Caenorhabditis elegans: one gene and its partners. The protein of the gene in region 2 interacts with the protein of the main gene of each other region in a pairwise test. Each region holds a gene or a part of one and is shown on either strand. Other genes may lie near its edges. The genes, in order: gldi-8, hinf-1, egl-13 and pax-3.

What was found.
Region 1: the proteins of hinf-1 (region 2) and gldi-8 interact in a two-hybrid assay, tested with the Caenorhabditis elegans proteins (one large-scale study listed by BioGRID).
Region 3: the proteins of hinf-1 (region 2) and egl-13 interact in a two-hybrid assay, tested with the Caenorhabditis elegans proteins (one large-scale study listed by BioGRID).
Region 4: the proteins of hinf-1 (region 2) and pax-3 interact in a two-hybrid assay, tested with the Caenorhabditis elegans proteins (one large-scale study listed by BioGRID).

Annotation. Positions count from the first base shown.
Region 1 is NC_003281.10:12,595,457-12,600,683, reverse strand, and holds gldi-8 (C2H2-type domain-containing protein), read left to right. Parts: upstream 1-1,999; 5' UTR 2,000-2,155; coding exon 2,156-2,257; exon of another isoform or gene 2,258-2,518; coding exon 2,519-2,749; intron 2,750-2,795; coding exon 2,796-3,518; intron 3,519-4,302; coding exon 4,303-4,539; 3' UTR 4,540-4,690; downstream 4,691-5,227. Other genes in the region: epc-1 (Enhancer of polycomb-like protein), read left to right, coding at 144-210.
Region 2 is NC_003279.8:14,789,424-14,794,950, forward strand, and holds hinf-1 (C2H2-type domain-containing protein), read left to right. Parts: upstream 1-1,616; 5' UTR 1,617-1,634; coding exon 1,635-2,040; intron 2,041-2,497; coding exon 2,498-2,944; intron 2,945-3,059; exon of another isoform or gene 3,060-3,148; intron 3,149-3,296; coding exon 3,297-3,718; intron 3,719-4,002; coding exon 4,003-4,119; intron 4,120-4,205; coding exon 4,206-4,439; 3' UTR 4,440-4,983; downstream 4,984-5,527. Other genes in the region: F39B2.3 (15-oxoprostaglandin 13-reductase), read right to left, coding at 1-59; uev-1 (Ubiquitin-conjugating enzyme E2 variant 1), read left to right, coding at 848-851, 910-1,055, 1,105-1,374; mrps-27 (Ig-like domain-containing protein), read left to right, coding at 5,476-5,527.
Region 3 is NC_003284.9:5,662,252-5,666,851, reverse strand, and holds the start of egl-13 (Transcription factor egl-13), read right to left. Parts: upstream 3,016-4,600; 5' UTR 2,942-3,015; intron 2,488-2,941; exon of another isoform or gene 2,348-2,487; intron 365-2,347; exon of another isoform or gene 172-364; intron 1-171.
Region 4 is NC_003280.10:10,144,765-10,152,601, forward strand, and holds the start of pax-3 (Paired box protein 3 homolog), read left to right. Parts: upstream 1-1,805; 5' UTR 1,806-2,083; coding exon 2,084-2,125; intron 2,126-2,555; coding exon 2,556-2,653; intron 2,654-2,698; coding exon 2,699-2,795; intron 2,796-3,493; coding exon 3,494-3,677; intron 3,678-4,086; coding exon 4,087-4,161; intron 4,162-7,191; coding exon 7,192-7,481; intron 7,482-7,540; coding exon 7,541-7,681; 3' UTR 7,682-7,837. UniProt on the Caenorhabditis elegans protein: Transcriptional activator. Regulates the lateral/ventral epidermal cell fate decision.

The DNA of each region.
Region 1 (5,227 bases), on a different chromosome or scaffold from region 2:
AGAATCTTTAAGATCCTTAATTTCTATGCAAGAATACGTAGGAGTTTTACTTTGCTCAGGAAATTTTATTTTTTGTCAGAGGAGTATATCCGAAAAAGAACAAAAAAAATGCACATTTCTCAAAACGCGTATTTTTTTTTCAGTTCGATGTCAACGGTAACACTGCTGGAACGGAAAAAGTTCATGATGCCGTCGACAATCGGTCTATAATTTGAACTCTCTGCTGCTGCTTCTGCTACTGCTGCTACTGCTGCTCATCGCCAATTTTCAATCCTCCTGAGATTTTTTGATGGTCATTCATTGTTTTGTGCATATCTCTCTCTCTCTCTCTCTCTCCCATGATTCTCAAATATTTCAATGTATTTACACCCCCACTCTGTCCGCTGCCTAATCCCCGACCGAATAATCAGATTCGCTGGAAAAATCTGCGATTCTTTAATATTGCAACCACCCACCCAATAATATGTGTCTCATCATCTCGGTACTCTCACTTGAGCCGTGTTTTCTGTAGTATTTTATTCTCTAAAAAAAAATCATTTTTAATATAATATACGTACACATTTATATCTGTAATATATATTTTTAAAAATGATTCCCCCCTCCCCTCCATTCGTTGTTTTTTTTCTGTGGGTTTCAAGCTTTTGAGCTGTGAAAAATCTCATCCCATCATCATTTTCTATTGTTTTTTTTCACAGTTGAAATATCCTATTTTATCTTTTTCCTTTTTTTTTCATTTTTTTTTTTTCATCGTGCGGGATTCATTTTTCGTCCCGCGAAACGCCCGCCGCCGCCCAATCCCACTCTCTCTCTCAGTCTCTTCTTAATGATCTTCGAAACTATTTTTATTTCCCTCATTAACAATTACGAGGTCGTCTTTTTTTTTCCCCACCCCCCACTGTTTGGTGTAATTTTTGTGTTCGGGGAGGTTTTTTGTGTGTGGATTTTTGGATTTTTTGGATTTTTTCAACAAAAAATTCCCCCGAAATCAAAATTTTTTCCCATTTTCCCCTCAATATTAGTACTGTTGTATAAATAAACTTGCTCTCTCTCTCTCTCTCGAAATCTCCTACTATTATTTTTTTAAAAGATTTTTCCAACAAAAATTCAAAAAACCACACAAACGACCTCTCTGCACGCGGTAATCCTCTCTCTTTTTGTCCCCCATTTTCTCTGTTTCTCTTTTTTTCTATCCCCTATACCTGTGATTGGAATATCCCATTTTTCCAGCAACAAACCAGCAAAAACAAAAAAAAAAAACTTGAAGAATTTCAAAAAAAAAATGACAAAAAAATCATAAAAATCAAAAGAACCTACATTTTTGTTGCATTTTATAGACACACACACGCACACACACAAGCAAACAGACATAAAAATTCAAATTTTTCGAAAAATTAAAAAAAAAAAAAAATTTCCCTCCCAAGGCCACCTGGGCGCCAAAAAGATAGTGGGTGGCCATGAAAAGTGCAATACTTTTTTGAAATAAAAAATAGTGTGAATATCGGAGAGACGCAGAGAAGAAAGGTCGAAAAAGTGAAAAAAGAAGAATTCTTTGTTCCCTTTCGTTTTTCCAATCCAATTGAATAGGACTTTGAGATTACTGTAGTCCAAAACTAAGGTCCCCGGGGGTCTCGACACGAAAATTGTTTTTGTTAAATGCGGAAAAAGGTATGCGCCTTTAAGGAGTACTGTAGTTTCAAAAAATTTGGTTTTTTCTCCAAAAACAGTTTTAAAAAAATCGAATTTTTTTCTTTCTCCAGTCTAAAAATGTGTTTTTAAAGGTGCACAATATTTTTCAGATGGGTATCGGCGCGCAAAAAAAGTTAATGGTAATAGTTTCTTCAAAATTATATGCGGTTTTCAGAGAAATTTTGAGTTTTTCTTTTAATTATATCAAATATTTGGACGAAAATTTAAAGGATTAATGCACAGATCCATTTTTTCTTCCTTTTTTTACTAGAAAAACTATGTAAAATTTTTTTTTTAAATCGCAATTTTCTCCAGGTATACGGTAAGCAAGTCCGCAAACACCGAAGCATTGCTGCACGCGTCGCACGACCGCGACGCGTCTCCCCCCTCTTTCGTCACGCGCTCATCGATTTTCGAAGTGAACACACAACCAGTTTCGTCAATTTTCTGCGCTATTTCTTCATTTTTAATGGAGATTTACGATTATCCAATGTCGTACGCTGATTTAACTCCTGTGACAAGCTGCTCATCATCGTCAAATTCTGAAGCGGACGCTAACAACTTTTCAACGGTTATCCTTTATTAAAAAATGTCAAATTTCTTTAAAAATGGCTTTTTTTTCGATCAAATCTTGTGTTTTTTCGGCAAACACTATTCGAAGCCATTGGGTGTGTCAGTGACAATGTTTATCCTCGAACAAAAATGTAATTAAACCAATTAAACCAACCAAAAAAACTAAACTCAAACTTGGGAAAATTAAACCTACTCAGATGCTTTATGCTGAGGTCTTCTCACTACCGCCGACCAATTTTACTTATTTTTTTATTTTCAGAAGAACAAAAATGTCAATGAATTCCAAAAACTCATTGAAGAATTGGAATTTGAGCCGGAAGACCGAAGAGTTCCCGAGGTAGCTGAAGAAGTTGAATCCGAAGACGAGGAAGAGGAAGATGTCCAAATCAAGTATCCTTACGAACGGAAAGACGCTTATCAAGACCTCCAAGAAAGGATCGAGCGCAGGCTAAACGATTCTGGAGATGAGAAGCTTGAGCAGAAGGCGAAGGTAAGATTATTTTTTTTTAATTTGCAACTGAAACTTTTTATTCCAGGAACTTCAATCGCTTATCCGAATGAGCCAATCACAATGGAAAGTCGAGCAAAAGCAACAGCTGGAAGATTCTCTGTTGAAGCCACACACTGCTGGATCGATTTTCACTTGCGTTATGTGCTCGAAAGCATTCCCGAACGCTGAAGCTCTCCAGATTCACACTGATCAAGTGCATGATTTGTCTAGATTAAAGCATCGTTGTAAGCTGTGCGGAAAAGCTTATAAGCGCAAGAAGAACCTTGATGCTCATATGGCCCTCCATCTCAAGGAAATCCAATGCGACAACTGCTCACTGGTCTTTCAATCTGAAAAATCGTTGCAAAGTCACATAATCCGGCATCATCAAGAGGATGCGGATGAACTTGAAGTATGGAAGGCGCCGTGCTCGATTTGCAAGGAGCTATTCCCATCAACATCTGTCAAAACTCACGAATGGTACTGCAAGAATAGGGAGAAAATTATTGAAAAACAGCGAGTATCGAAGATTCTGAAAGTACAAAGTTTGCCGTCAAGCCCAGCTCTTTCCACCGTCAGTTATGCATCATTCTCAAGCTGTCAGCCTGGGCCAATCACAAGCCCAGTCTCCTATAGGGATAAATCGTGTCAAGTGTGTGGAGAGAGCTTCGCGAGCCGACAATCAATGCTCCGGCATGTTGGTAGAAAACATCCAGATGCCAAGAACGATCCAAATGTCACGGCTGTGAGATACATTAGCGCTGAATCGGTAAGGATAAGAATTTAAAGGTGGACTACGCTCAGTGGGGAAATTGCTTTAAAACACGACTATGGTACCACAATGACCGAATATCATGATAAAAAATTCTAGATTTTATATTATTTTTTGAAAATTGAAAAAATCTCGAATTGCATCAAATTCCCATTTAAACCTCCCGCCAAGTGATTTTATCGATGGAGCGCGCTTGCTCGTTTTTATTTTAATTTATTGTTATTTTTTCTTATTTTTCGCCGATTTTTCATGTTTTCAGTGTAATTTTATGAGAAATTTGAAGAAAAAGTCAAAATAATGCAAATTCTCGATTAAAAATCAACTTTGCAAGCGTAAAAACGAAGAAGTACCACTTTTAAACGATTTGGAGCCAGTAGTATTTGATTTCACAGATTTACGCTTGTAAAGTTGATTTTTAATCGAGAATTTGCATTATTTTGGCTTTTTCTTCAAATTTCTCATAAAAATACACTGAAAACATGAAAAATCGGCGAAAAATAAGAAAAAATAACAATAAATTAAAATAAAAACGAGCAAGCGCGCTCCATCGATAAAATCACTTGGCGGGAAGTTTAAATGGGAAATTGATGCAATTCGAGATTTTTTTTCAATTTTCAAAAAATCATATAAAATTTTTAATTTTTTTTTTGAATTTTTTTTATCATGATATTCGGTCATTGTGACCCCATAGGCATGTTTTAAAGCAATTTCCCCACTGTCGCTACTCCACCTTTAATGAATGAAAATTTAAAATTAATGAATTAAAATTTAAAATTTTCAGCCCAAGCATCCATATGCTTGCATTGAATGCGGAAAACGATTCACAACGGTCACCGCTTTGTCAACACACAAGGCTCGTGTTCATTCACAATCCAATCGCTTTGAATGCACAATTTGCCACAAATCCTATCCGGTTCCATCAGAATTGAGGAAGCACATCAAAAGAGTTCATGAGAAGGATGCGCCCAAATCTCGATCAGCATTGGAAGAATTACCGGAAATGGACGATATTTTCTAAATTTCTCTAGATTCAAATGTTCAAGATTTTGCTGTAATTTTCCCACCTCCCCCCCCCCCTTTATTTTCAAAATACCGGTCCGAACGGGTTCCAACCGAGTTTACTAGATATTCATGTAGAGATTTCAACACAATAAATGAATTAAAATGCGTGAAGCCTATTCCTCTGCAAATTAATTCCAGCCAGCGGATTTCAAGCTTGATGACATTGAAAAATATTGGGTAGTTGTCTCACCGAGAACAGGCCTAGTTTTACGAACAGGCTTAATATTAGGATTAGGCTTTGGCTTAGAATTAGGCTTAGGCTTGATTTCAGGCTTTGACTAAAGCTTAGGTTTGGGCTTAGGCTTGTGCTTTGGCTTAGGCTTTGGTTTTGGCTTTTTTTTTTTTTTGGCTTAGCTAACGCTCCCCCACTGACGCTATGTAGAGATTTTTCATATATTTTATTAAAATCAGGGCTTCGCCCCGATTTTAATAAAATATATGAAACCCTCTTAAAAAGTTACAAGAAGGTTTTTCCTTGCGCTTGGAGCGCAAAAGAAAAGAAAAAGAGCTATTTAGACTTAGGGTGCCCAACTGGAATAAAATATAGGAAATCCTTATGACACACCGGCGGTATGGCGCGGCTTAAGCCTAAATAGCCACTTTTATCAAAATACATTTGAGCGAGGCGGCTGTAAACTATTCGT
Region 2 (5,527 bases):
GCTCCGAATCGTCGGACTACAGCTGCGCGCATGCTTGATTTGCAAATCGATTTGCTCATTGTTCTAAAAATGGCACTTATCAGTAATATGAAATGCGTACTCGCACTGATTAGGCGCACGGATTTATTCGGATGGGTCTCGCAGCGAGAAAAATGTTATGGTAACACTTTGTGGCGGGACCAATCCGAATCAAACCGTGTACCTTTAAGTACGCGTTCAGAAAATTGCGAAATTACTATATTTTTGCAACTTTTGTTTCATTTTTCCGTAAAAGGTTTGAGTAAATGTTTATCAAATTATCGACTTTTAGACTATTTTTAGTGTTTTAGCAGAAAATCTCTGAAAATTCGACAAAATTTGATTAGAATTACATAACAAAAAACAATTTTAAAAAGCTAGGACATTGATTTGCACGGGAACTCAACAAAAAATCAGAAAATTGATTTTCTTTTAGCAAAATTGAAAAAAAAAAAACAATTTTTAGCAGCTGTGCCTTTAATACAAAACAAAGATTGAAACGATGATAACCAATATTCAATTTTTATAATTTTTTTTCGGTCGCAAACAAAATTGTCATCATTTTCTTGTGATTTTATTGAACCCAAGTGTTTCATTTCAATGTTCACAGATCTTGTCCGAGAGGACTACACAGTTAGCCTTAGCAAACGCGCTCCACTGGGCACTCACACAAATCGAATGAGCGCGCGGCAAACGAGCGTCAAGCCGTGCTAGCAGGCGGATTGTCCGACGAAATTATCGATTTTTTCTTGATTTTTCGGATTTTAAAGCAAATTTCTTTGTTAATAATTTCAATTTTCAGCGTTCCAGCAACTTGGGCACTTTCAAAATGGGTAAGTTCGCTTTCTAAATTCAAAAATGATTATTTTCGCATATTTTTCTCTTTTCCAGTCGATGTACCACGCAATTTCCGTCTGCTGGAAGAACTTGAAGAAGGACAAAAAGGCAAGGGAGATGGAAACATTTCGTGGGGTTTGGAGGATGACAGCGATATGACTCTCACCAGATGGACTGCTTCCATCATTGGTCCACCGAGAGTGAGTCAGCGGAATTAATCATTTTTTATTATTAGTTTTTTGCTTTCAGACTCCATACGAATCGCGAATCTACAATCTGCAAATCCAGTGCGGCGGGAATTATCCGCGAGAGCCACCAACCGTTCGTTTCACCACCAAAGTTCACATGGTGGGAGTCAATCAGAGCAATGGAGTGATTGATAAGCGAAATTTGACAACACTTCGCAACTGGAGCAATAGTTACATGATCAAGACCGTGCTCGAGGATATCCGCAAGAACATGATGATGGCCAAAGAGAATCTGAAATTGCAGCAACCGGCAGAGGGCGCCATGTTCTAAATTCTTTTATTGATTTTTTGTATACCCAGTTTACTCTCCCCGGTAGTAGCTTTCCCCTCGAACTTTTCCCCCACACTTTATTTATAATTATTATATTATTCGCCATTCAATTTCCATGTAAAATTTTAAAATTTCAATGTGATTTTTTTATTTTTTGTTCTTCATTTTTGCGTAATTTTAACGCATTTCATACCTACCTGCTCAATTACTGTCTCTTTCGAGATTTCAATCATGTTTTTCAGATTCAATTATCCTAAAGTATGTCATATGCCGATTTGAAACCAGTCAAATTCGATTTCGACATTCAATATCAACCATCCAGCCAGCATCCTCCGTACTATAATTCGTTTGGAATTGCCGAGCCGGATCCCCGTCATAATTTGTACGCACCAACAGCACCACCACATCATCATCATCACCACCATCAGCACCAGCCACAACAACATTTACATTATATGATTGATAGTCAAGACTCAGATAGTCAGGATTCTGTGGACTCTTTCCGTACACCTGCACCGATCTCGTCTGCAACAAGGTTTTCTACTCACACTCCTCGAGCTTCCAGAGCGTCGAGTAACGATTCTGAGAGCGGAGAGCTTAGCGAAGAAGTTATGAATCATTGGTTGCCAATGACTTGGTGTGAACGATCGTCGGATGATCCACAAGGTAATTAATATTCAGATTTTCGACAATGAGTACTAACGGTTCGGAAGATTTTGAACGTATATGCCCAATAGGGGTACGCATTTTAATTTCAATAAATTCTGAATTTTCAGTAGAAGATACATCGTTTAAAATTATTTAAATGTGGCTTATATATTTCGGCGGTGCTTCGAATTTATTTATAACATTCAAAAATATTGAATTTCAGAGGTTTTACACTGCTTTTAAAGTCAAGAAATTTTTTGAAAATCGGGCTACAAAATGATGTGTAAAACCTCTGAAATTCAATATTTTTTGAATTTCTAAAATGGATTCGAAGTATTGCCAAAATATAAATATAAGCCACATTGAAATCAATTTCAACGATATATTTTCACATGCTGAACCCATGGTCGCGACGAGGCTCAATCTGATCCATCACGCCAACTTTTGTTTAAAACTAAACAATTTAATTTTTCAGTTTTCACATTCGTCTGCCTATGGGGTCAATGTGTGTCTAGCTCGTCGAGCAAGGACGAGTTCGTTGATCATTTATTCGGCCACGTGTCAGTAATCGAGGAAGGAGTTCAAAATGGGAACCATATGAATACTGTTCAGTGCAAAGTTCGCGGGTGCAACAAGCATCTCGATTCGATATTCCAACTCCACCGACACGTCTCAATGCACGTATTCCAAGCAGATTGTCAGCAAAAAGGATCAGAAGCACTGATTGAAAAGGAAGATTATATTGGAATAGAGAGTTGTGGTTTTGAGCCATGTACAAATATTAATTATGAAGGAATGCTGCTGAATTGTCAATGGGAGGATTGTGGAATGCCGTTTAACTCATTAACCGAACTGTTTGATCATGTCGGACATCACATTGATGGTGTTGGCGATGTTGATAGAATTCAACAGAATTTTTCGAGTGAGTAAGGATTTCTGGACAGTGACAATTAAATTTCCTGAAGAAATTTGTTTTCACTTTAAAAAACTGAAATTTTCATCGAATTTTTTGTTTAACTGGACAACTTTCAATGCCGGAATTTATTTCTTACTTAATTATCGCCCTGATTGCAGATTTTGGTCTGTTATTTCACGATTTTTTGTTGATTACGGTGATTTGTATACTAATTGACTGAAAAAGAATTTTCATCAACGAAAAATCGTGAAATACGACCTAAATTTGCAATTGAGGATGATAATTAAATAGCATCTAATTTTCCGCTCAAGATTATTCCAACAAAAAATTTCCTTTTAAATTCTAATATTCTACACAGATGGCGACAAAAAAGTGGTGTTCCCGTGTAAATGGACCGCCTGCACACAAGTTGCCGATTCAAAAGCCAATCTCCGACGTCACGCTCGTCACCACAGCGGTGAGAAGGTGCTCGCGTGCCCATTCTGTGCTCGATTCTTCTCCCGACGCGACAAGCTCTACGATCATTGTCTCCGACGAACAATTCTGATGAAGAACCCGGAAATGGAAGATCCGTATCTATGCAAACTGTGTCAAAAGCGATTTGGAACTGAAAAAGCGTTATGTATGCATGTTACACGGCATTTAGTCAGTCTTACGTGCCCACTATGCTCACTTGGATTGGGTTGCCGAGCAGAACTTCATAGGCATTTAATGACAAAGCATTCAAGACGATCCAAAGATTTCAAATGTGATACTTGCAGCAAATTGTTCTTCACAGAGGTAAGAAAAATATTTTTGTCGAATTTTTAGGAAAAATTGTAAATGAATATCAATTTATCAAGCTTCAGGCAATTTTAGATTTTAGTTCAAAAAAATGTCTTATGGGCTTTAAAATTGCCCAAATCTACCGAATTTCGTAATGAGACATTTTGAAAATTTCTCAAATTTCTACAACAAAGCTCATTTTCTGCTAAAATCAAAGTTTTTGCCAACTTCTCGGTGTCGCAGCCTTTCGAACATACTTTTTATTACAAAATATTTTTAAAAAATTTCAAAATTTTCAGAGTGAGCTCAACCGTCACGCTGTGTACCATTCTGACGTCATGTACAGTTGCAAGCATTGTCCGGAGAAGTTTAAGTGGAAGAAACAGCTCATGAAGCATATGAAAGAACATGATGAGGTAACCGGTGTTTTTTTTTCAGAAAATCGATATAAGAAAACTCGTGGATTTATTTTATTCTAATCGTTTAATCATCCGATTTTCAGAATTTCAATCCATCCCCATATACATGCCATTTGTGTGACCGAACATATACTACTGGATTTGCATTGGGACGCCATTTAACCCGTCAACATCGTCTCCAGATACCCTATGGATTCAGTCGTTTTACTTACAAAAAGTGTGCCGATGGACTTATGCGACTTCAGACGAAAAAGTTGTTTAGAGGAGAGTCTGGAGAGGATCAAGCCCATCACCACCATCAACATGTTCCATATTAAATGATTATTAAATATGTTAAATTGCCCTCACATAATTTATCCACCTTTATGTTAAGGAAGAAGGGGGATTTCGCTCAAAAATACCACAGAAGCAACTATTTCTGAATTTCAGCTCACTTTTTTGTGGTTTAAAGCGAATTCCCCTATTATCCACACCTCTCATTTTAATTATTCTCTTTCAGTAATATTCTGATCTCTACCCCTCTCAATCGCATGCTTTCTTTTTTTTTCCACCAATTCTTACCAAATAATCGCCTTTTTTGTTCTATTTATTATGCTTCTATCTATTCGATCTCTCGCTCTATCCATTCTTTCCTTATTACTACACCCCTCTCACCAAGTTGTCTTACAATCAATCGATCGATGCCCCAATTCACTTTAAACACGTATGCCACGTGTCTTCTCCCACAAACACATTTGATATATACTTGTACTGTTTGCAAAATTTTCAATGTTCTAATTTATAATTTAATAATTATTTCCTTTTAACTTTGGATTTTTTTTTTCAATTATCTAATCTGAAATAAATATCTACACGTATTGTTGGACAATCAATTTGTCTCTAAATGCGGTATGAAACCAATTCATTATTTTCCAAAAAAAAAAAAAAACTATTAAAATAGGCGATTACAAAAGGAAATTTATTTAAATTCTGGAGAATTGAAAATTTTATGACTACTGAAAAACTATTTACTGATTTTCCGAAAAAGTCCAATTTTATTTTTGATGCAATTTTCTATATTTTTCTTAAAAACTGATTGACATTCTTTGTAAATGAAAATTAAAAAAAAAAACTGAATTTCTCGATTTTCAACAAAAAAACGACAAAATATGTAACTTTTAAGAGTTAAATTTCAATTTCTCTGAAACAATGTCAGAATGTTTTTTCTTTCTAAAAACGGTGAAAAATTATCGAATTCGAGAACTTAACTTGATTTCGAACTTTAAAAATTCAAAACATACCGATAATTGCCGGATTGTTGAAAATTTAAATTGCTAATTGTAAGACCCCAATAAAATAATATTTCATCTTCAGATGCTCTCTAAAAACCTTCTTCGAACTTTTATAACTCGCCGAAATTTCCAAA
Region 3 (4,600 bases), on a different chromosome or scaffold from region 2:
GTTAGTATCAAATTCCACAATTCATCGATGTTGCCCTTGGATAACTTGTTGTTGTGGGGATGGAGGAAACAGGGGCTAAGAATCGAAATCTATGAGCAAGGCCTGGTTAAGCCGATTATAGTCTAGAGCAGGATGGATCAAGGCCTATTTGTCAAATGGGAAAGGGCATAATGTTCGTTCAATATTGAATATTACAAGAGCTCCGTTTTGGTTTGACAACAAAAGATAGGTGTTATTAAGTGTGATATATAAAAGAAGAACAAGTGTGACAAGTGACTCCTTCCGCTGATTTGAGGTCAGTTTTTGAAAGAAAAAATTTTCGCAACAATTTCTGTTCAAGATTCGTATGAGAGTGGGACGAAAAGATGAAAAACGGGGGAACTTTTGTCGTCTTCCAGGAAGATGCAACAATTGACAAACATCTTGGCAGGCATTGTTCCATCAAGAGCTCGGGGTTCCCTGTGTCTTATCTTCCTATCAAAGATTTCAAACACGAAAAACGGATAGGAAAAAGTGATACTACGAGTACAAACGTTAGTTCGACGGATATTTTCAACACGTTCAAAATGGTGATATTTGTGGAATCGTTTCTCAAGGTGTCACACACTCTACTTACCATCAATTAACGAGACAATAGATAATCAAATAATGTCGGGGCAGGTGACAGGTTAGCAATAGTTGAACACCTAATAGAACATACGTCTCATGGCTTTGTTCCGTGTATCCGGGGCGCCGGTGACAACTGGCTCTTGTGGCGGCTGAACCTCGAAACAACGGTGCTCTTTTTCTCTCGATGTCACACTTTTTGAGAAACTGAGAAACTTTTCGTGCAATACAATGGAGCTCTCATTGCACTTTTAGTTTGGGACAAAAAATGTTGATAGGCTTGACGAGCGATGAGACACTGGGACAGTGGGACAGCGCAGATGTTTGATGAGCAGGAATGATGTTCGATTGTAGTGTTTTGCGAAGAATTGTTGTGTGATAAGTTTATGAAAAAAAAGTTAAGTCTCATGCACAACAAATAAGAAAGATTTCAAAAAAAGGTAAATCAAATATATTAGGTCTCCAAATAAGTTCTGGGTCAAAAATCATAACTTTGTTCGCTGTGTATCGATTTTCATGAAACTCTGGGAATTTATGTTATCAACTATAATCTTTCATTTAACAATAGTCACGAAATTTTTTGACCGCCCCAAGTGTCCTAACTCGGAGCCAATTTTTTCAGGCATTTTTCTGATCTCGCTTATTTTCAGCTTTGAATTGAGGGTTGTGTGCGGATTTTTCTTTGTTTAGAATACATTATTAGAAAACAACAAAAGTTTTGAAAAAATCCGTCCAAAAAAATTTTTTTTGGTTGGTCGTCAAAAAATCTTCAAAAAAATTTTTTGTCGAAAATTCTAGATTTTTCCTACAAAAATGATGTAACCATGAACCTCAATTGAAATTTGAAAAGAAGCGAGATCAGAAAAATGCCTGAAAAAATTGGTTCCGAGTTAGGGCACTTGGGGTGGTCAAAAAATTTTGTGACTATTGTCAAATGAAAGATCATAGTTGATAACATGAATTCCCAAAGTTTCATAAAAATCGATACGCAGCGAACAAAGTTATGACTTTTGACCCGGAACTTATTTGGAGACCTAATATACCACCAAATATTTCTCTACAGTGTGCCCAACGTCTATAGCACCACCCCACTAATTTGAGAGTTTGGTGTTTTTGAAAATATTTTTTGAAAAGGTGTTAGTACAGTTCAATAGAAAATGTTGAAAACCTATGGTCCTTGATTTTCACAACTTATATCTCAAAGTTTAGTTCGAAATTTTAACAATAAACGAGAAAATTATGAGGAGCCGAGAACTGGCCCCTGTCAAAAAATCCGATGAGTGCTATAGAAGTTGGATGAATGTTTTTTTTACAAAATTTTTACTTAATTTTCAGGTATCATCATAAAACTGGGGGAGCATATCCTTTGCAGCATTTGCTATCAAACTGTGCTGACGTTTTTTTCTGAAAATAATTTGGAAGCACCAAACTCCCAGATTAGAAAAGGGATGATATAGACGTTAGTTGTAATGTATTAGTCTTGTACTCTCATTGCTTTACTTTGACAGCTTCTATCTCGGTTGGCAAATTATGTGCAAAATGTTTTTGTACATTTCAACAGTAAATAATTTTTTGGTAAAACTTAAGAAGACTGATATACGAGGTAAATCCATTGGGGTGCAAGTTTAATACGGAAAATGCGGTTTTTAACTACAATCAAGTATGTCAATGATCACTCGCATGTTTCTCCCTTGAAGCTCAAGCTGAATAGAGTATGGTTTCAATAGATTCTCAATAGAGTATTCAAAAGAAATAATTGACATATACACCCTACCAAAACTGCAAACACAAGAGCAAGGATAATTCATCATCGAGATCTCCAATTATCCCTTACAGTCTGTCAAGAATACATGAATATTTGATAAGGTAAAGTATGGAAGAAGAAGGATAACACAAAGGATAGATAGAAAAGAAGAAAAAACAATTATTTATGGAATTGGCAGTGCCCATAGGAGGCACATGATGATAAACTCGGAGTTAGCTAGGATATTAAAGGGATCATGAGCAGTGACGGGTGCGGCGATTTGGCCTACTATTATTATGATCAACAACGGCACACGACAAGGAGAAAATAAGACTAGACAAAGTAATAATTCTTTGAAATCTGTCACCAAATCTGGAAGTGTTGCTCTTGCTCCAAATGCGCAAATATAGGCAAAAGTGTGAGAAAAGTAAAGTTGGTGAGGAAGAGAATACTTACCAGATGCTTGCTGGTGCAAATACTTGTTCTACTTGTTTTGTTATTTCAATGAAAAAGCAAAACAGTGCTCACAACATTAAAAGGGGAAAGAGCATGGCACAGTAGAAACTAGAACGGAAACTAGTTCTTACTCACCACTATAGAGCCATTCGGGAGATTGTTGTTACTGATCCAGCAGTATTATGGAGTATTGATTTTATTTGGAGTGTCTGGAATTTTAAATTTGCGTTTGTAAATTCAAGCCTGAAGAAAACATTGAAAAAGAAGAATCAAAAGCGTTAGAAATTGAAACTAGAGAAACTTAAAAAGGCCGATTATTTGAGTTCAGTGGCATTATTAATTCAAACGATTCACACGCGCTGAATGAATTGTGAATTATGAAGGAGAACAAAGATATTGCACAGATATATATCAGAAATTCCTTTTCTTCAATTGAGGATAGTCTCACGATTTGTCCTTTGAGGGTAAGAAGAAAAAGAAAAGAGAAAAGGTTCAAGTGAATAAAAGATGGGGGCAAAATGGAAAAATGAGAAAAAAAATGTTTGGTTGAAAGTAGAAAGCAACACTTAGAGAAACATAAGTTCAGTAGTCAAACAGAAAATATAACTAGTTGTCCCACAAGGAAGCCTATGGTATTAATTTTTTGTTTTGGACTGTTCACGAAATTTCATTGGTCACTAGTTTCAGACATGGTGACCCAATTGAACTGGCAATTTCAGACAACAAACTTTGAACCAAGAGAAGAAGAGAGAGGGAGAAAACAGGAAAAAGCTGGTATTGGTTGTCTAGGTGATTGGAAGAGGGAACTGGTATCAGACAAGTGGTTCAAGGTAGTTGTGTTCCATCACACAATGAAGAGAATGAAAGAGAGTGACCACCCCACCTGAAAACAAAACTGACCACGCAATTTGTTTGTCCTCTGAATCGTCTCACAATAAGTTACACACTGTGCCCTCTTCTCTGCAAAGTGGGTGGTGGTGGTGTGTTGTCGGAGAGACACGGTGGGGACCCGCGCTTCTTCAGAACTGGATGTGTTGACCAATGGCGCAAAAGTTTTCCAAAGAACGCGAAATGGTAATAGGTCGAGAACCACTTGCAACAATTCCATAATGTTTCTTTTAGTTGACACAATGCACCTACTCAACCTCGTTTCGAAGATTCGGAAATGCATTTATGATAGACTAAGAGGGCATCGCAATACGAGGACGGGAATCAATCATAATGTATTTTAGGTGGACATTTTAGCTTTTGACAGTAAAGAATATTGAAACACACTGAAATTGTATTTCAATATAGCCTAGAAATTTTAAGTAGGCCAAAAAGTTCTAACTATAGTGAGAGGTTATGACATCTAGGAACTTGGAATATTAAAAAAAATCTTAGTTACTACATACAACAAAATCCTAGAGTATACGAACTCTTATATAAGTCTATATAAAATAAGGTCAAAAGGCTATCACAAATGAAACCGTAAAGATACGGTTTTCTAGTTCAAGAATATACAGAGTCGCCCATAATTATGGCGACCACTTTGCAGTAACTCAACGTTTCTGTTTTTGGAACGAGATATTAAAACAAGTGAACTTACACAGTTATTAACCACCCTGAATAACTAGGTAAATTAAATAGGTTTGCATATTTAGAATTGTTAAAAACACAAGAACTGAAAAAACACATCGAAATGTTAAAATTTTAGATCTATGCTTGAACTTGAATTTGAGATTGAGACATTTAGTATTCCGATTTTCTAAGCAAACTCAAATACTGTTGCACAACGCGTGATGTGACTAATGT
Region 4 (7,837 bases), on a different chromosome or scaffold from region 2:
ATGTTTCATTTCAAACAGTGTGTGCCTTTAAAGTGTTGTATCATCTATTTGAGAAATTACAATAATGACATAAGTATTGTAGAGTTTAATGAGACACTGTAACACGGTGGCTGGGACAAACTCTTTTCACATTTTGTCAACAAACTCCCGCACTCAGCCCATCAATTCTCCATAGATGATGCCCTTTTCAGATAGCGGAAAACCCCGCATCATCATCATCTCACACTTCTCCGGATAGATAGATAAAGATATATCCAAGTGTTACAAAGGTGTGAAGACCCCCAAAAGTTGACATCGGCGCGTGGCCCTTAATTATGACCGCATACCACTTCAAACGATACCGCCACCGTTTCTTCGTCCCCCTGATAACATGGTCCCAGATTATCAGGAAAATGGTGTAAGACAACCTTGCGCAATCCGGGAAGATGAAGAAGGAAATGATGATGTGACACGTGCCGAAAAAGAAATTGGGCCCTACTTGTTGATTGGGTAATGCACGTGTAGTTTTCAGGTGTTTTCGGTATTAAAAGGCTATTTGTATGGGGTAATAAAGGATTAATGACTAGGATTATTTCACATTATTTCACATATTTTCACGTTTTGTTTCTAACTGAAACTCACAAATAATTCTCCAATTGTGTAGTTTAGAATAGATTTATATCTTTAGACACCGTCGGTAAACAACTAAAAATACCATTATTCATCTCAATGACATAAACTTTCCCAACACGAGCCCTCCCAAACACCGACTCGCTAATTGCGAGCAATTTATTGATTGACAGTTCGCGGATGAACTTGTTTTGCACATTGTAGATCGAGATAAGACAAGTAGGTTCTTAAGTCGGGCCGACACAAAACAGATAGGTCTAAAAGAACGTCTGAAATTGAATAATCAGATAAGACAGAGTAAAGGGATACTGAAAAAAGAATAGTTATAGAAATACTTGAAAATCTGAATGAATAGAGGTGACAACTATTTTTCCAAACTTACAACTAACACTGGTCTCAAATTACAGATACATATATATGTTAGTTTTTTCAGATTTCAAATTAACCTACCCGTAGGCTGGTAGGCAAGAATGTAGTCGATCTTTGCAAAGTCATATCTTTAAATTTCTCATTGGAAATATTTGTACCGTATCCTCGAAGCACTTTTCCTCCTGACCTCTTTTGTTTGTAAAATATGTTTACACTTTTGAACACTGGAAATGAAAATGGGGAAATTGGTCATTGCCAACAAGTTACACTACTCTCGAAAGTTGTCTGTTTGTTCTATCTGTTCTTGTTTCCGTGAAATTGCAACTTTTGGAATATGTATGTTTTTGGTAATCAGAAAATTATTTTTGTGTTAGGTAAGTCCAACAAATCACATAATCGAAAAAGCAAACAAAGAAAGTAAACTTTGTCTGAAATCCATTAAGAAGCTGTTTTCAAATATTAGTAGCATGAATAATTCTAACGCTGTTTAAGCTTTTAATGGACATGAACGATTTTTAAAGTTTTGAAGTATTCGTTTCTGGTTCCAGTTTCATGTTAGAGTTACTTCTAGCTTCACCCAGAAGCACGGTGGACTGCTTAGATCTATGTAGCTATCTGCAAATATTTTGAATCTGCAAGATCCGCACGCTCCTAGATGTCCTTTTCTTCGAGACTATCCACAGGTGAATCACCATTTTGCAGGTGCTACTACCAAACATTGACCTTTCAAATCAAAACCATCGAGCACATAAATCTTCATCTCCAAAAATCCACCTCCTAGTCAGAATATCTCTGATAACAAACCCACATACCCCGCGCCAACATCTACTAGTACGTCCTTTGATGCTTACCGCCCGTGTCTTTCGCCCTTCTCTATGTCTCGCTGGTTTCGATTACCGTACTCGAGACTATGCATGCCTGTAACAGACCGCGCATGCGCATAGGTGGGCGGGATCGCCGTCCCGCCCATTCACAGTTCGACAAGGCGTGTCACCTCGAAACTACTCGCTCCTTAAGTTTTCACGCTATATACCTGATATTCACACATTCGGTATATTGGGGGCCAGCCATACGTGCTCCTGATATCCCATCCACTACTAACAAAATGACCACAGATTCTATCACATTTAATCACATTCTTGGGCAGGTAAGTCTATGGTTTCGATAAGTTGTTTTCTAGTTGTAGTGCATAAACTACTGCTCAGGTATTTTTTAATGTCTAGAAGTAGGAGATGTATCCCGGAAAAATTTGATTGAAGAAATTTTTGGAAATTCTAGATGGTTCTAGAATGTACGTTAATTTCGAATTATTTCTATACTGGCTCAGACGTTTTAAGGAGCTAAAATTAAGCTCTTGTTAATTATACAGTTTGAAGTTGTAGCCTATAGAAACTTTTGATTTATTGTTAATAGAGCTCATCAAGCATCACAAAAATTAGATAGTATCATTACTATAGTTAGCCTTAAGTTAGATTTTCATAGCATTTGAAAAGTTTTTGAAAATATGTTTTGAGTTTTCCAAGTCTCAATTTCTTCTCCTTTCTCACCGCCTCTATTGAAGCCCAAAATTAATTCAGGGTCGTGTTAACCAACTCGGTGGAGTTTTCATCAACGGTCGACCCCTTCCAATTCACGTTCGTCATGCTATCATTTCAATGGCCAAAAAGGGTATAAAGTAAGTAGTCCGAACTTCTAGAGAACACTAACAATAATCTTTTAGACCATGTCACATCAGTCGTCAACTCAAAGTATCTCATGGAGCTGTTTCGAAAATCTTGAATCGTTACGCCGAGACGGGCTCAATATCTCCGGGACAGGTCAGTGCATTTTCTGGATGATAAGATAATTTGCTAATTAGGTCATCAGGCAGGCGAATCATAACCATAAAATTTAATGTTTGCCTACACGTGCCGCGTGTCGTCGTCCTGATTCAAAAAAGTACCGTAATACTCAATTTTGGCGGGTCGCGCAGGTGCGACGCCCCGGGTGGCACTTTTCGGCATTTTTCAAAAAATGCGTCGGATGTCTGTGTTTCTGTTAAAGTAGTTGTTGTCTACTAGGTTTTTGGTTACCAAAAACATACGGTAATTACAATTCCAAAAAAAGTAAACTTTGAATTCTTGAAAATTCCATTTTGTTGGTTGCAAAACGGCAAAGAGTGTAGAACGGGGAGTGCAAATATACAAAACAATTTTTATTCATTTATAAACTTTAAAATCATCTCAAAAACAACCTGAAACTTTCCAAGAACTGATATCAAAACGTTTTCGGCAAATGACAACTTTGAAACAGTTTTTGAAATTTTTCTCGACTATTTCAATGCAAATAACTGATATTTTCAAACTGATCAAATATTTTTCTATCTATATTTCTACATTTAATTTAATAAAAAAAAGAGTTATAATCTGGGATTGGGCAGTTTTGTAGATTTGCCGAAAATATTCGTCATATTTCTTACATAAGCCTAGCGAAAGCAAATGCTTTTTAAACATAAATATCTATGAATTAATTTCAGATCGGTGGAAGTCCCCGCGCTCGACTTACAGTCCAAGCCGTCGAGAAAGAAATTCTGATCGCATGTGATGAGAATCCACAAATGAGCGCTGCAGAGCTCCGAGATTGGCTTATTCACAAAGACATTTGCACAAAAGGAAATGCTCCAACAGTACCTGCGATAAAAAGGCTTATTGGGAATAAAGGTATAATAATGATGAAAACTGTGAAGGCAAAAAAAAGGTAGAGGAATAGATGAAAAACAAACAGAAATTCGTTTCGTTTGATGAATGTTCCGCTTCTGATAGCTGTGGTTGTGTTTGTTTAACTGTTGACAACGATTTTTTTTGTTTCGAATACTTTCATGGAAACTTGCTTGGGCGTCATTTTTTGATGCGTGATTTTCCACAAAAATTCAACAAACCTCACAAGAAGAACTTCTAGACATATTCGATCAAATTATCACTTTCTATAACCTCATCAATCATTTCTTCACGCCAATCATATCATCTTTTTTGCTGCACTTTTTCATCATATCTTCCTTATCACTTTTTTTTGTTTTAATTTCCTTATCAATATTTATCTTCACACAAATCACCACATACTTTTTTGCAGGCGTCGGGGTTCCGAAGAAAATGGAACGAAAACGGCTGAGCTACAGTATCGACAGCATTCTGGGAATTTCAATTGGTAAGTGGTCTAATTGGAATAGTCTTGATTTCACACATTTATAATTTCGTTCCGTTTGTCTCATGTCCTCCAACACCTTTTTTGGGTGTCGGATTTCCTGTTCAATCAGGCAACATTCCGTTCTTTCAATTCAATTTTCTTCTGCCATATAGTAACACACAAACAGACGTAGCATGAAAGTTTTCATTCCTCCCAATATTCCCAAAGGGGCCAGAGGGCATACTGTATATTGGACTTCTTTGATATAATAACGGTCATTAACACTTTGATTAGTATCGCCTGTATGTCGCTGTGTATGTTAACGGTGTGATAAGACGATAAAGGCGAAGACGTTGAAGAAGTGGGGGCGGAAAGGACAAGAAGCGTCGGTGAAGAATGATGTGAATTAGACAAGGGGGCACGCGTCAGGGGTTGATTTTAATCAACAAGACCATCGTATTTGTTTGTGAGTTGCATGCTGTGCGCCGCCACGGAGATCTTCAGGGAGAGAACCATGACTGATTGAATTACGGGTTACGGTAGTGTACCGCATTTTGTTTCTCCTGATCTGCAACAAGCGTACCGGAATGTCCCGCGTGTCTTCAGGCCTACCTGTTAGCTTGCCTACTGCCTATTCGTCTACATCTTGGTGTGAAGTCTAGGGTCTGATGTTGCATTGTGAAGCCTATAGGTAGGTCGCCTTGATGTCCGGTAAGCAGGCACTTTTGATCCTAAAATCTTGTTTGATCTGTGCTCAGTTGTTAATCACATTCGGTAGGGTACGGTAGTTGTGCAAGAAAATCGTAATCTAAAGAAAGAGCATGTCAAATTCCAGGCATCATACGCCTACCTTGTAGGCACGCAGGCAGGCATTTTTATCATGTTCGGCACTCCAAACAGTTTCATTAAATCTTTGTCTGAAAATTCAAGTTTAACAACAGCTTTGAGACTGTTTATATAGAACGAATAAAAGTGAAATTTTTGGTTTTTAAAACTTCCAAAACTTTTAGCCTACTTTTTATAAGAAACTAGACAGCCACAAACTTATGTTTTTGCAAGTTACTTGAATTTCTAGGGGTCATGCCACTACCTCCTGCTGTTTCAACTTCTTGTCTTCCAAAACTTTCAACACTTCCCCTCTCTTCCTGTCCCGTTTTTTCCCGCTTCCTAACTTGTCGTCAATCTTGTCATTCCTTAAATTGTGAACCACCGCTCAACTTCGCACATTTTCGCATACACGTAGCAATTAAGATAGGGGGAGAAGATTTGCGCACTTGATAGGTGCCTATTCAAATAGGTAGGTAGGAGGAGGAGAAAACGATCCAATAAATTCCATATTTTCGCGGCCAATTGATCAGGATGGGCACACGAGTGACTGGCGCGAGAGAAGATTGGGATGCGCGAAAAAAAGCAAACACATGCATACGAACATAATACATATCCGCAATTTAACACATTAAAACTTTGACATTTGACATTTGACAATATGATTGTTAGGGATGTGGGTTACGGTATGTTGCGCAAGATCGTTAGTAGGTGTTGGTCAGCTTGCCTGGAAGGCAGGCAGGCATGACAGATCATTGTGAGCTTGTTTATTATCAAGTTTTTACCGAGTCCGAGTTACCCTCTCTCCACCACAAACCTTGAACCAAAGTTTGAACTCGGCGGTGCGGTAACGTGATTTTTCAGAAATTTCCCGAATTTGTCAGAATACTTCCATGATTTTCCACATGTCTATATTTCTATTACATTCATAAGTAACAAAAATTAATATTTTCCAAAAATAGGTAGCCGTTGAAAACACAACGCAACGACTGATATTTAGGTATCAGAGACTGGAGTGATAAAGTTCCAGGTGAAAAAAGAAATGGAAACAAAAGTTTCTTCTTCCTGGAATACGCTCAGAATACATTGCTCAATGGGAATATATTATAGCACTCCCCCGCGCCGTTCTTAATGAGCATTGGGAATTATAGAACGATATCGTTAAAAACTACAGTATGCTTAAGGGAGAATTCATTTTTGAAAATCTTACTCTACTCGGCAAGTAGCTAAAGTTTTCTGCAGACTATTACCAGAAAGAGGACTAAGTGCGGTAGAAATCTGCTTTGATTTGACAAGAACGGATGAAAAATATTAATGAGATAAAAGATCAAGTTGAGCATCCTTGAAATCGACATTCTTCAAATTAGAACATTGTATAGAAATAACCTTACCTTCCTTCCTTCCGTCACTATAAAATACTCCTGTGACAGAAACCGATTAGCGCACAGCTCATAAAACTTGGATGTGAGAAACGACGGTGATGATGGAGTGATCCGTCAAAAAATGGAACGATAAAAACAAATTAATAGGGTCCATTCCACCACATGATATCTCTTTCTCAAGTACACAAAGGTGTCAAGTCTATAAATTAGAAGAGACACCCCCCCTCCCCCACCCGCAATAGGGTCTCTCCCGATCTTTATCGATTATTTTTAGAGAAGTGTGTCTATGCGAGAGGCCTACGACATGACTGAGACCACCCACTGTGGCGCAACATTATATATAGTAATTGGGCGACTCGACTGGCAGGCCGTAGTCTTTCTCTGTTAGATACCTTACAATTGACTCATTGATTTCCGGATTTTGAGGGAAAATGCTTGATAGGCGGGGGTCTGATTTTGAATTTTTGAAATAGAACGTATGCGGAACTCAAATAATTTTCAGTCTCGAGGCAGGCGAGTCCGGAAGCCTTTCAGAAAGGCATTTCAGCATGCTCATTATTCATTAGAGCCTCCCTGGTATCAAATATATTCTAGTTGCAATAGTTACTTCAACTTTTGACGTCGCATGCTATTGAAAATGTTTGTTATTTTAATTACGCCTGGAACATTTGCCCTTTCGATTTTCAACGGATGAAAAAAATGGCAGATGAAAAATATTAGTTCCACATTTCGAAAGTCTGTATAGAGAGAGGATGTATAGAGTTTGTTAATGAAAATTCAAAAATGCATTCACGTACCCAAAAATGGTAGCTATGATAACCCCTTTCAAAAAAATAATTTTCAGACGAATGCAGCAAATCGTCATCGGATGACGAAGAGGGCTCTTCACCATCAAACGACGCATCGTCTCGTCGAAATCGTACATCATTCACTGCCGAGCAACTAGATGTTCTTGAAAATGCGTTCCGCGCAGACACTTACCCACATGCCAACGCCAGAGAGAGCATTTCCAAGGAGACAGGGCTCAGCGAAGAGAAAATTATGACGTGGTTTTCGAATCGGCGAGCAAGATGTCGGAAAAATATGCCAATGTATCAACAGTACAATGTTCAAGGTTTTGGATCATCTCCGCCGGTTAGTTAGAAATCGAAACTATATATTAGAAAACAAATTACTAAAACTTTGATTTTCAGTCCTACCCAACGCTGCTGCCTTCACCGATGATGTTCCTACCCTCCTACTCAACGAGTCCTCAATTGAATCCGTTATTCTTTCAACACATACTCCAATCAAGTCCCCCATCAAGTCAATCATCTCCGCCATCATCAAGCTAAACGCTTTGAACTTATTTCTGAACTTTCAAATAAAACCTGTGATATTTGAAAGTCGATCAGAAATTGATACACAAATTTAATTTGAAAGTCCAGAATTAATTTTAAAACATTACCTTAAGAATTCACCCATTCTTCCCAAAACTTATCTAAATCTCT